Linked DNA regions of Arabidopsis thaliana. The protein of the gene in region 2 interacts with the protein of the main gene of each other region in a pairwise test. Each region holds a gene or a part of one and is shown on either strand. Other genes may lie near its edges.

Region 1 (6,147 bases), on a different chromosome or scaffold from region 2:
AAGAAGATATTTGATAGGCGTATATGGACAAGAATTTGAAAATTTTGATTTGATAAGCAATATTCAAAAAAGCAAAAGTCCCTATCAAAAACTCGATTAGTTGATGTATTTAATTCAAAAAATACTTCGTGATGGGTGAATCACTTTAGTATTTACGTGAATTAAATTATTACATGTGAATTTAAACGGGAAAAAAAAACAAGTATTACATGTGAAATTTGTTTCGAAGTGTACTTTGTTGTTACTTATGAGTCCTGTCCCGTCAATTGCTATAGTAGAGCTTATGAACGATGGATCACTTTTTACTTATAGAAGCTTTGAAGTTTGGTGCATAGTCGTGATACCTCTTGACGCGTATGAAAGAGATGTAGGGCTAGTACGAGAACATGAGCAGCTCCCGCAATGATGAACAAACCGCGCAACTCACGGAAGGTGAATCGCTTAGATGCCTCATCATCGTCGTTGGTAGATGCAACTTCCTCGGTGTTGGAATGTACATTTAGTGAATCCAGTTTTTGAAACCATTTTTTCTCCATGTCTTTCAACATTCCCAATGATCTTAGCTTCGCGATTTCTCGCGATACTTTAGGAACCAAATCCGAACCTTTCTGGAACATCTGAGAGGTAAACATAAATTAGTACGTAACAAGAATAAGTAACCAAATAATGGAGAGAAAATGAGAGGTTTGAGGAGAAGGGTACATACAAAGCCAAAGCCATTGGTATTAGTCACTCTATCTGTCATTACGAAATCATTCGGATAATTTCCGATAAGGATACTGAGATAAGGTATTTCATTGATGACATGATTAAGAGTTCCATCTCGCAAAAGTTGTGCATAGGCCTCAACTGCATTAATGGATCCGAGCTTCGCAGTCATTGACGTCGTAGATCCCCCGAAAACCATCTGATGATTTAATTGCATGCGAGAAATGGTCTTGGTTGATGTCAAGTTTGCGCTGTAACTTGAAGTCAATATTAACACCACAAAAACCCAAACTATGACTAAGAATCTTGATGACATTTTCTGTAGCTTCTCTCCTGCCAAGAATGTGCGTAATTTGTTATAGATCAAAATATACAAAAGGATGGGATTTCATGAAGAGTAGTACTCTAACATAAACACTTACTGTGAGCAAATACAATGGTTGAGAAACCAAACCAGAGCATCATACTAAGTTGTTGTCCCCAAGAGCCCTGAAATTCCGGATTAACGGACCGTTCAACTAACCAAACAACAATCCCAGTTAAGACAAAGAAAGCTCCACTTGCTAGCCACAAGGATTTTTCGAAAGGATCAAAGAAGGTCCACATCCCTTGGCTTTTCTTTTTCACTGTCAAGATTCCAATACCAATGTCAGTGTACGGCAAAGTAAAATCAACATACAAAGATCTGTTGGAAGTGATGGTGATATCACCAACTGCTGCATCATACTTGTCTCTCTGTCAAAATTGCAAACACACATTATTAGAAACATACATAATCATTTTTGACTAGAAAAATGTTTTTAAACTGTTTGCATTTTCACACCTGAGTAGAAAGTAGATAAGCAAGATTGTCATTGTTTCCACGGTAAGGTATGAATTCAAGCTCGTAGTTAAAAGGAGCAATGCAAGTCTTGAAAACCTCTACGCAGAATCCAGAGACAGTATTAACACCTGTTTCAGGATCAGGACGCACCGACACTAGATGCGGGACCTTGTTTCCTGCGGTAACTAAGACCCTAAGCACCTTCTTTTCACCTTTCTCTGCCAAAACACGGTGTCTTGGGATCTTACGAGACCTGCCAGGCCAAACAATCTGTCTTCTTTGGCTAAAACTACCACCACTCCATAATCCTATCCTTCTCTGTTTTTCTCTTCCAATATTCACGATTTCAAATGTCTCTGAGATAAATTTGTTGTCAGAGATTTGGATGTCACCACTCAAACCCTTGAATCTACTATGTCTAATTGTATCCAGAAGATCAGCTGATACATTCGAAGATGCTTCAACTTTACCACTTACACTGAACTTCTCTACTGCATTTGCTAGAATACAAGCGATATCGTGTGCGCGTAAACCGATGATTACACTAGAATGCTCTGTTTCTGTATCATCTCCCATACGTTTCCTCAATCTTGAAGTAAAATTCTTAACTTCTTCAGATACAGGGATGTAAGATTTGAAACCAATGACCCCTTGCATCGACCTAGTTATTGCAAAATGTTCCAAGTAGTTCATGGTTCTTGCAGTGAGGATCCAAGCGAACGCTTCTTCCATCAAACCTAACTTCTCTACACATTGGAAGAGACGAGAAACAAGAATCTCGGACATATGCACCACAAAAACCGATGCTCTTGAGACCTTAAGCTTCCTTAGCTGATTCATCATATGATTTTCTCCTGATGATGAGACTGCAAAAGAAGCAGAACGAGCGATATAGATTCCTTTATCTTGAAAATTCTCAACCAATATTTGCAAACTCTCACTCCAATCATCAGCATCCTCGTATATAACCACAACCGATTTACAACTGAAATCTTGTATGAGACTTGTAATTCCCTTAGCCTCTGATGTAGTATCATGCGTCCATTGAATAAAGTTATCGTATTTCTTCAAAGATAACGTGTTTGGCAAGAAAGTAGATATGACCGGAACTTTAGCTTTTTCGCTAATCGTCGCCAAAAGCTTTGCCTCTTGTAATGATTGTGCACCAACAATGGCTTCCGCTTTTGCATTTTTGAGAAGATCAGTAGCTGTTTCATACAAACACAAATTGCAGTGCAAAACGGTTAGTGCAAGACATGAGAATGTTAACCGGAGTAAACCGGCGGGACTAGGTCAATTCTTTTTTATTTGATTCAGTCTGCTTTAAATGAAGAGGAGTTGTGGATCCCACCAAAAATTGCAATAATTGAATAAGGGAGATGAAAACTCACCGGCGGCAAGAGCAATGATCGGGTCTCCTTGGGAGTCTCTGACCAAAACAGAGACTCTGGTTCGGTATCCATTGTTGATGCCATAGAAATCTGAAAGCGCTAAGTTAAAAGAAGTTTCCAGAATCTTGCCTTGTATAGAACTCAAGTCAACCACCAATCCAACCCTAACCTCTTCGAAAACATCATCGTCGCTTGGAGCAGCTACTACTCCGGAAAAGAGAAGAGCAAGAATGGAAATAGAAAACAGAATCTCCATATAATTTCTTGTATAGCTCTGTAACGTTCGCTTTGGGTTATAAACAATGGTGTTTCCATATCTACTTGTGCCATGGAATAATAATTATACTGGACCATTTTTTTTTTCCGGTCAAATTGCATTTTGATTTTCTGAAGTGTATGGTCACAATCATTTTAAATCAAACTAACGCGATATCGCACACAATCAAAGTCAATGTGTACTGTTCATCGACACAAATTGACTAGGAAACACATTTATTTCCTTCTAAAGTATAGTTGAGCCTTAAAAAAAGTTTTATTTAATTTATGTTTTCAACAGTTACTTTTAAAACTGATTTCAAAATCCAGGTTAAATACAATGTAAAATACATATGCAGGGGAAACCATAATACTAGATATATTAGCTTATTTCGCAAAGTCAATTCGTAGAAGTAAATATTCGAGTTCAAGTGATAGGACAACCAAGTGATATATAATAAAATCTACCACAACCCGAGAAGCTAAAAAAAATCACAAGCTGGTTAGTTCAACTCGTCGAGGAAAAATCAAATCAAGAGATTAAAACTCTAGTCTAGGATGATCCCACAGTCATCTCCTTCTACAATCATTAAATTATTACTCTATCGAAACCACACGCTCGCGAATACTTATAGAGTACATGTGGAATGAGATAACGTTACCAGGGAGATTAGGAGACTTGGCTTATAGAATACTTATGGAATACATCTCCCTCGCGACTTACCTGCGCAATGAAAACTTTTTCTCGTCTTGTTCAATAGTTGTACTTCGCACAAAGGATAATACGATCATAAAAAGACTCATAATACGATCTTCGATATACCCGCGCAACGATGGATCACATAAACGGTCGCATGGTTGGAAAATTTAGGGCTCATCTCTGATTGTTTTATTTTCTTCACAAAGGGGCAAAAATATATATATACACTGTATATATATATGGGGTTTTTTTTATGGTCAAATGTTATTGCCCTTCGAATAAGAGACCTTTGATTCGTAAGAAGAGATTATTATTTTATAAGAGAAGGTTATGACCGAAAGGTTTCTGAAGAAAATGAAAAATTACTTTTAAAAGGAATTTTATCTTTAAAAGGAAACAAAAGGAATGGTTAAGTTTTACATGATTGGACGCAAAAATGGAAAATTCTTTTGATTACTTCAAAAAAGGAAACCCTCATTTCTTATTAATAATACATCAAATAAAAAACTAACATGATTTTTCGCAAAATATCCAATTTGTGAAGACCCTAACGCTCGAATTTGTCATCACTTGGCTCAGTCTTTCAACTTTTGAAAACTGAAACTCCTTTTTTCTCAATACTGTTAGATAATAGAGATATACTCGAGACGATTGAGCTTCGTCAAATGGATACATGCAGTATTAAAATCAGCAGTTCAAATACAAAGAAATTTAAATCATCAAGTATGAATATGTATGATCATGCTTCACGATCGAACAGACGAACACCACCAGAAACTCGACGTCCCACACGAACAGAAGATGAACCACCACAGTCTTTTCCCAATCGTAAGTGAGCCATATTGTCGCATAAGTTATCACGTAACTCGAGCATCGCTTGGTACCTTTGCTGCAGCTCCTTCGCGCTCAAACCTTCCGAAGGAAAGTTCCACCACATTTTATCTAACTTCTTTTCATTTCTCGATTCCTTCAACAGTTTCAACTTCTCTAGATCCATCGCAAGCTCCTCTTCGAGCGCCTCCATTTTTTTTACGAGGTCGTGGAGCCTTCGTTTCTTATAAGCTTCGACGAGGGGTCTGGTATCGTCTCTCTCTAATGGTTCTTGTCTCGAAGGGTTCTTTAACCGGTCAGCCACTTTCTTCATAGACGGATGTGCGAATGTATAGGGCTTCTTGGGTTGAGAGAAAATCAAGAAAGCCACTTCAACGTCACACATTGCTACGAGCTCGTTCATTTTCTTAAAAATTCCGGTTTTACGTTTTGAGAACGTAATCATCCTATCTCCATAGTTCTCCACCTTCTTCATCTCGATCTTTTGCTTCCCCTTTGTTTTTCTTCCCTTTGCTTGCTTCGTAGATGACATGTTTGCAGAAACCAGAACTAGTGTTTGATTTCTTGTAGGTTTGTTATTTTGTATGTAATGATAAAACCATGCGCAAAACACAATCTATTTATAGACCAAAGAAAGAGATAGGATTACAAAGTTTGGAGACATTAAATTTAAATCTTAGTTATGAAGAAAGTGTATTGACTAATTTACAAAAAAAAAAAAAAAATGTTGACTAAACACATTTGGCAACCACTTTAACATCTTCATTAATCAGTCAAGAAACTATTATGGTAACCCAATTGGTGTAATAGCTGGTGTAAAGGCTAATTGACCATTCAAGGAGGAATGTTCTTTTAGGTAATTACGAGTTTGTGTATCCCTTACAGGGAACATACCTCAGATCCAAAATTCTTTTGTTACAAAAAAAATAGGAAAAATTTGATATAAAAGATATCTACTACAAAATTTGTCCATAATATTCTTATTTTTTTGTAGATTAGTCATATAATTTTTTTAAAAAACTTCAAAATCCAAATTTATCTTATTTTTCTATCAAATTTCATTTAAAAAATAAAACTTTTTTGTATTAGTATAAGTCCGTTCATTTGATTAGTCATAACTTTTGCTATAATATTTTGTTTGACTTGAAATCACTATCGTTGGAAAGCTAATTGAAACTAATAGAATTGCTATAATATTCCGTTTGACTTGAAATTACTACCGTTGGAAAGCTAGTTAAAGCTAATAGAATTGAAGTCAATATATAAACATAAAAAAAAAATTTAAAAATTTAATTTTAGGTTAAAATAACTTTAATCTATTTTCTCTAAAATAACAATAACTTAAGGGATGCAATTTATACTTATAAATTTCCAAATTTATATAACATGAAACACATGAAAAATATTTCCTCTCATAGGCTACAGCTAGCTAATATAAA
Region 2 (5,911 bases):
TCGTCTCTTATGGAACATCTCAGTCAGCAACTTAGCAAGACATTGAACAATTTTTTTTTTTTTTTTACCACCTAACAAACAAAATATTTAACTGAATACAAACAACTAATTATTTTATATACCGTTTTATAGTGGTGATCAAAGTAAAGACAAAACAAAAACCAAAAAGAAGATATACATATATATTTTATATGACATTTATGTTGTATAAAACTCAATTCTGCTATTTTGATATTATTGTTAAATTATCATATTCAGATAAGCAATGAAAAGCATGTAACGTGAAAGTGTTTTTGTCTGCTGCTTGGAATTATAACATACACTTTGTCAAAAAAGAAAGAAAAAAACACCTACATATATGCATTGATCCATCAATTACAAACATAAACACTTTATATATACGAACTCACCAATTTAGTTCATTTGTACCTAACCCAAATAAATTTCCATTGACCTCATCCATCTCCTGTTCTCTCTATATATATCCACTCTATCAAAGTATTCACTCACAGAAACACAACCAAATCCCAAAAAATAAACTAAAAATTTCTTGCTTCATAACTAATTAATTAATATCTAAAATTATACAACAAAATCAATCAGGTAATGGCTCGTCCAAGGATCTCCATTTCGATGATTTGCTTACTCATTTTGATTGTTGGTTTTGTCTTGCAATCTTCTCAAGCTAGAAAAGTTCTAGTCCCTTACGGCACAAGCAAGGGTTTGTTTCTTAGTGCCCTACCCAAGGGCAATGTACCACCTTCGGGTCCAAGCGACAAGGGTCACACTTCTCCTCCGGATGATACCGACCAGCGTATGGTACCAGAAAACTCGCCGGAGATATACCGTCGACTAGAATCAGTCCCTAGCCCCGGCGTGGGTCATTAGGCACATTAATTGATTGTCGTCTTTTCACTTCATATATGTTGACATGTTGTCGAATTCTATTCACAATGATATCATATACCGTTCGTAAGTCTTCTCAAGAATGTTTGTGTATGTGTGTCTTCATATATAATTGATATAGATATGTTTGTGTGTGATCCGATCCGTTATTGAGTAATAAAAAACCACTATTCTACACTTTGATTTATCATTTATTCAATTATATATGTTGTCGAATATTGCAGATCTCTATATGTAACGACATACAGCTTTTGTCCGTTTGAAAATATTATGTATTTAGAGAAAACTTAGTTTAAATGATATTCTTATGACTTATTTGTCAATTATCGCTTAGAAAAACCGAAGTTATCAAAACTATTTTTGTCATATCAATTTTTTTTCTTGCATTAAAGAGATTGAGTTCATGTGTACACTTTCTTTTATAATTAAAAAAATTATATTCTCAAAGTATCAGAAAATTTGATTAAATCCTCGTTTTATTTTCGATAGTGTGTATTTAGAAGAACTACATTCTTAATTTGGTAAAAAAATTCATTTGTGGGTATAAATAATATAAGGCTATTAATAGTTGCCCAATTGTAGTTCACACGGTGTCCAAAGAATACTATAGACTCAAAGGGACAAATTACATCATACGATTTTTACACAAATATAAACATGAACGTACGATTGGTGCCCACCATAATCGATACAATGTAAAAAGGTTGCGTACGTAAATCATATTCTTCATGAAGAAAGCTACATATAAAGCCTGTAACTTAGAAAGTAAACAATAATTCAAAAGCTTCGTTTTGACATCTTCGTAGAAAAAGTTGATGATTTGACAATAATTATGTCTGTTTACGTAAGAGACGTCTTCCTCTCTCCAGTTGACATTTTTGTTTAGTGAAATTGAATAGATTCAGGGTTTCGACTAAAGAGAAGAAGAAGAAGAAGAAAAAAGAAAAGAGAAAATAGACATGCAATAATATAAGGAACACCATTATTGCTCATCTCAGGGATTATACTATTTAAGGACTTACTTTTTGCCAAGAAGCTCTTTCCTCACTTTCCTTTTTTGTATTTTCTTAATAAGTTTAACTAACCAACTAGTAGTAAGATGGAGCCGCTTGTTATACACATTCAATGCATGTGTATATCTTTAAGTAGTGTTTTTTTGTTTGTCAAGTGATAATAATTACTAACTTCAAGTAGTTTTTTTTTGTTTTTGTTTATATATAGTTAAATGTATACAATATAATATATATAGACTGTATTAGAATATATTCATAATGATCATTATCACGAATGGTGTTTGTGTTTGCCATTGGACGGCTGCGAGAGAAAAGACGAGTAAGAAGAAAAATTTAGGTCTAGGAGCTTTATTGCTCTGATTCCATGATTATAGAAGTGATGATTTTATTATAATACAGAGATGAGCTTATATACAAAGAGAGATATCTAGGGTATTACAATCAAAGTAAATGTGAATATATGACTATAGATAAATAGACTAATGATTGATATAATCAAAGATATGAATATTATCTAATAGACTGTAGTGAAAATCCTAGACACAAATATTTCTATTAAAATTTTACTTCTAATAATAATTAAAAAAAAAATTGGGATATTCCTATGACTTTCCATATGTAACGTCATGTCACATAAAAGTGTTGAAAATGGAAATCCTTACTTTGAATTTAACTCAAGAAAATTTTAAAATCATATTGTCGAGTTATATAACCCAAAACTAGTAGGTTTAGATAAATATTACATGACACGCTAATGTTATATCAAAGCATGAATTCTGCTGTCAGATGAATGTGGTTACAATCTCAAAATCATGAAAACTGTTGAAAAAGTCATTTATAAAATGTTTTGCTTCCAAAACCCAAAGCTAAAGTTTAAATCGTTCAATGGGTCATTATCATACATTAGTCTACATAAATCTTGGTAAATTTGCACTATTATAGATTCGTTTGAAACTTGTGAACCACGTTAATTTCATTATCAGCAAATGAATTGTACCAATTTTTTATACCATTGGTGCGTCGTTGTTATAGAACAAAATCCATTATTTTCGCTTCATATTCTTTGACAATGATGTATCGAAGTTCACTTCACTTTACCTGGTAGAGTTGTTAAGTGTTAACTAAGACATTGGCCATCTTTATTTGACATTACCACAAAATAAAGTAAAACTAAAACTTATGATTTTGCACTCCGTATGAAACGGCACGGTTGATAGAAGCGGATAGTTACGGGCCTTACAGGCTTATAAGCCCAAAATTTTCAAGCTAAAAGCCCAAAAATACAAAACTGGCTTGTTGCAAGTAGTCGCTCTTGAAACAGCGTGAGTTTCCAATTAAAACAATTAGATGAGTACCCGCACGTAGTGCGGGTGTATGTATTATTATTTACAAATTGTTTTATATAATGTTTGTTCATATAAAGTAAAGTTGAATGCATCGGTTTTGAAACATAAATATGATTTGTAATTGTTTTTAAAAAGTCCAACTATATTAGTTCATTTGAAAAACGAATGTGCTTGAGTTCTTTTTTATTGTTGTTTTAAATTCTCAGTTTTTTTTTAATTTATATATCTTTGTTTTTGGTTATAAATGTAAATTGTGAGACGGTGAAATTTTAGAAAATTTATTTCTTACACTATAAATATACCATGTCTTTATTAACCATGTCTCTGCATATTCAATCTAAGCTTATTCAACTTGATGTTCTTGAAAAGTTTAGTTAAGTTCTTGTTATAATCTTATATCTTACGTTTTAGTTATAAGGATGGCTCCTCAAACATCTTTCAAATTATTTGTTTTCTTAGCATAAATCTCGAAAAGCTTAGATATATTTAATCTGCATATTCATTTAGTTTCTTTCATAATAATCGTCTAATTTTTAGGCAAGTAATATATGTAGCATGTTTGGATTTTTAGCCACTTAAGTGGATCTCGAAATTAAAGAGGATATATTGAATTAAAAAATGTAGAAAAAGTGATGGTTCAAGTTCTGATTAATTATATTCTTTATGTTGAATTAATTACTAATTATGTATTACTTATTTTATGAAGTTTAGGTGGCAAGCTCTTATGTGCTGATGTGTCAAGTTGTTGGAGAGAGTTAGCCTCTTTTCGTATATATGATTTGTGGTATATAATGAAAAATAACTATTTCGGATTCATATATAAGAAGCTTTTCTAGCAAACACTCCACGATTTGGATTTGAGATATCGGCTGTTACATATGTTAGATATATTTAGTATGAATAAATCTATAAAAATAATTGTATCGTTACGTATGTTTTTATCTTTAACCATAAATAGTTAGATGATGAAATTCCAAACTACCACATCTTTGTGGCTCACGAGTATCTCACTTTGAACAGACCAAACATTATGGAGAGCAAAAAAGAAGAAAAAAAAGAGCAACCTTGTGATTCACGAGATAACGCAAACCTTTGTCTCTCACCATCATACAAAAAATATCTCTCTTTCTAGTTAATAGGTATTTACAAATCTTGTAAACTTAATCTCTCTCTATCTCTCTATCTGCTCTGTTTACTCTGCTTTGTAAATTTTGTAATGTTCGTTTGTTGTTATCGTCTACTAAGGAAGACAAATAATGGGTTGTTCTAGCTCGAGAACCATAGCAGAGGGTACTCTCTCTCTCATCAAATGAGAGTCAAGAAATGACCCACACACATCTGATCTAATGTTTTCTTCTTCATGATTATTCTTACTGCTGAGAGTATCTCTGTGGACTGTGATTTGATTGTGTGTTTGTAGGGAAAAAGGAGAAGATTCGAAGACCAAAAACATGGAAACATCCTCAACCGATATCAAGAGATGAGCTCACACAGATGCGAGAGGAGTTCTGGGACACAGCTCCTCACTATGGAGGCAAGAAAGGTGATCATCACATATAAATAATTATGTCAAGAGTCAAAAGTGTTTGTATTTCAATGTATATACATATGTAAACAGAGATATGGGATGCGTTACGAGCTGCAGCAGAAGAGGATGATTTATCGCTTGCGCAAACGATACTTGAGAGTGCCGGTGTGATTGTTCAGAACACTGACCTCACCATTTGTTACGACGAGAAAGGTATTAGTCTTATTCTTCCACAAGGTTTGGTTTTGGTTGATTTTGTGCAAAGTAGTTGAGATGTTTAACTTTTGCAGGTTCCAAGTATGAATTGCCTAAATACGTTCTCAGGGATCCTTCAAATTTGATCCCAACCAAATAGAGAAATTCAACAAAAGACTACGAAGAACGAGAAAAGCTCGCTTGTGTATGCATTCTAAGGAATCATGTTGTGTTTAATTTAGTTATTGTTTGGATATGTTATCTTGTGTATATGAGAACATATGTGAGAAGTGAAATGGATTACAAAGGTCCAAAAGTTCCTTTATAATTTTTCCATAAAAAAAGAACCTATGATCAATAAAACTACGCTCATACCACAAATTGTTATCTCTTGTTTCTATCTTGTTGTTCAAGATTCATAAGACTTTTTTTTATAACCTATGGAGAATTATAAAGAACCTTATGGAATTCGTCAAATATAAACTCCACCATAAAGTTAGAGCCAAGATCACAAATTAGTGATTACCCAAAAGAGACCATTACAGTTAAATCTAAAACCCTTTGTAGCTGAGGCAAAACGATGAACAATGACCCGGAAGATAAATGGGTCCAGTTCCCATCAAAAACAGACAAGCTTTTCAATAAAACTAAAACGTAGCTTCTCTAGCAGGAGTTATATAACTCACGGTTAAAGTTATTTACCAATGTGAGTCAGAATCCGATTGATCAGAACTTCTTTCTTCCCGCTGACGAGGAGATTGTTGGCAGTCAGATATGTCTTCAGTTCGACCACAGTCAAGTCCTTCAGCTAAACAAAGAAAACAGAACATGAAGATAGCTTATTTAAACGTAGAGATCTAAAAAGCAATGAAACAAAAAGATGAAATCATTAAGCAGAAATCTAAATTAATGCTTAGAATTTT

What was found. The genes of interacting proteins can lie anywhere in the genome.
Region 1: the proteins of AT1G16960 (region 2) and GLR1.1 interact in a protein complementation assay, tested with the Arabidopsis thaliana proteins (one large-scale study listed by BioGRID).

What each region holds. Positions count from the first base shown.
Region 1 is NC_003074.8:1,074,392-1,080,538, reverse strand, and holds GLR1.1 (glutamate receptor 1.1), read right to left. Parts: upstream 3,304-6,147; 5' UTR 3,179-3,303; coding exon 2,923-3,178; intron 2,740-2,922; coding exon 1,532-2,739; intron 1,444-1,531; coding exon 1,131-1,443; intron 1,042-1,130; coding exon 707-1,041; coding exon of another isoform or gene 618-706; coding exon 303-617; 3' UTR 35-302; downstream 1-34. Other genes in the region: AGL57 (AGAMOUS-like 57), read right to left, coding at 4,617-5,240. UniProt on the Arabidopsis thaliana protein: Glutamate-gated receptor that probably acts as a non-selective cation channel. Can transport sodium, potassium, and calcium ions.
Region 2 is NC_003070.9:5,795,477-5,801,387, forward strand, and holds AT1G16960 (Ubiquitin domain-containing protein), read left to right. Parts: upstream 1-4,264; 5' UTR 4,265-4,521; coding exon 4,522-4,555; intron 4,556-4,685; coding exon 4,686-4,808; intron 4,809-4,883; coding exon 4,884-5,006; intron 5,007-5,083; coding exon 5,084-5,148; 3' UTR 5,149-5,411; downstream 5,412-5,911. Other genes in the region: AT1G16950 (uncharacterized protein), read left to right, coding at 607-888; KU70 (ATP-dependent DNA helicase 2 subunit Ku70-like protein), read right to left, coding at 5,683-5,796.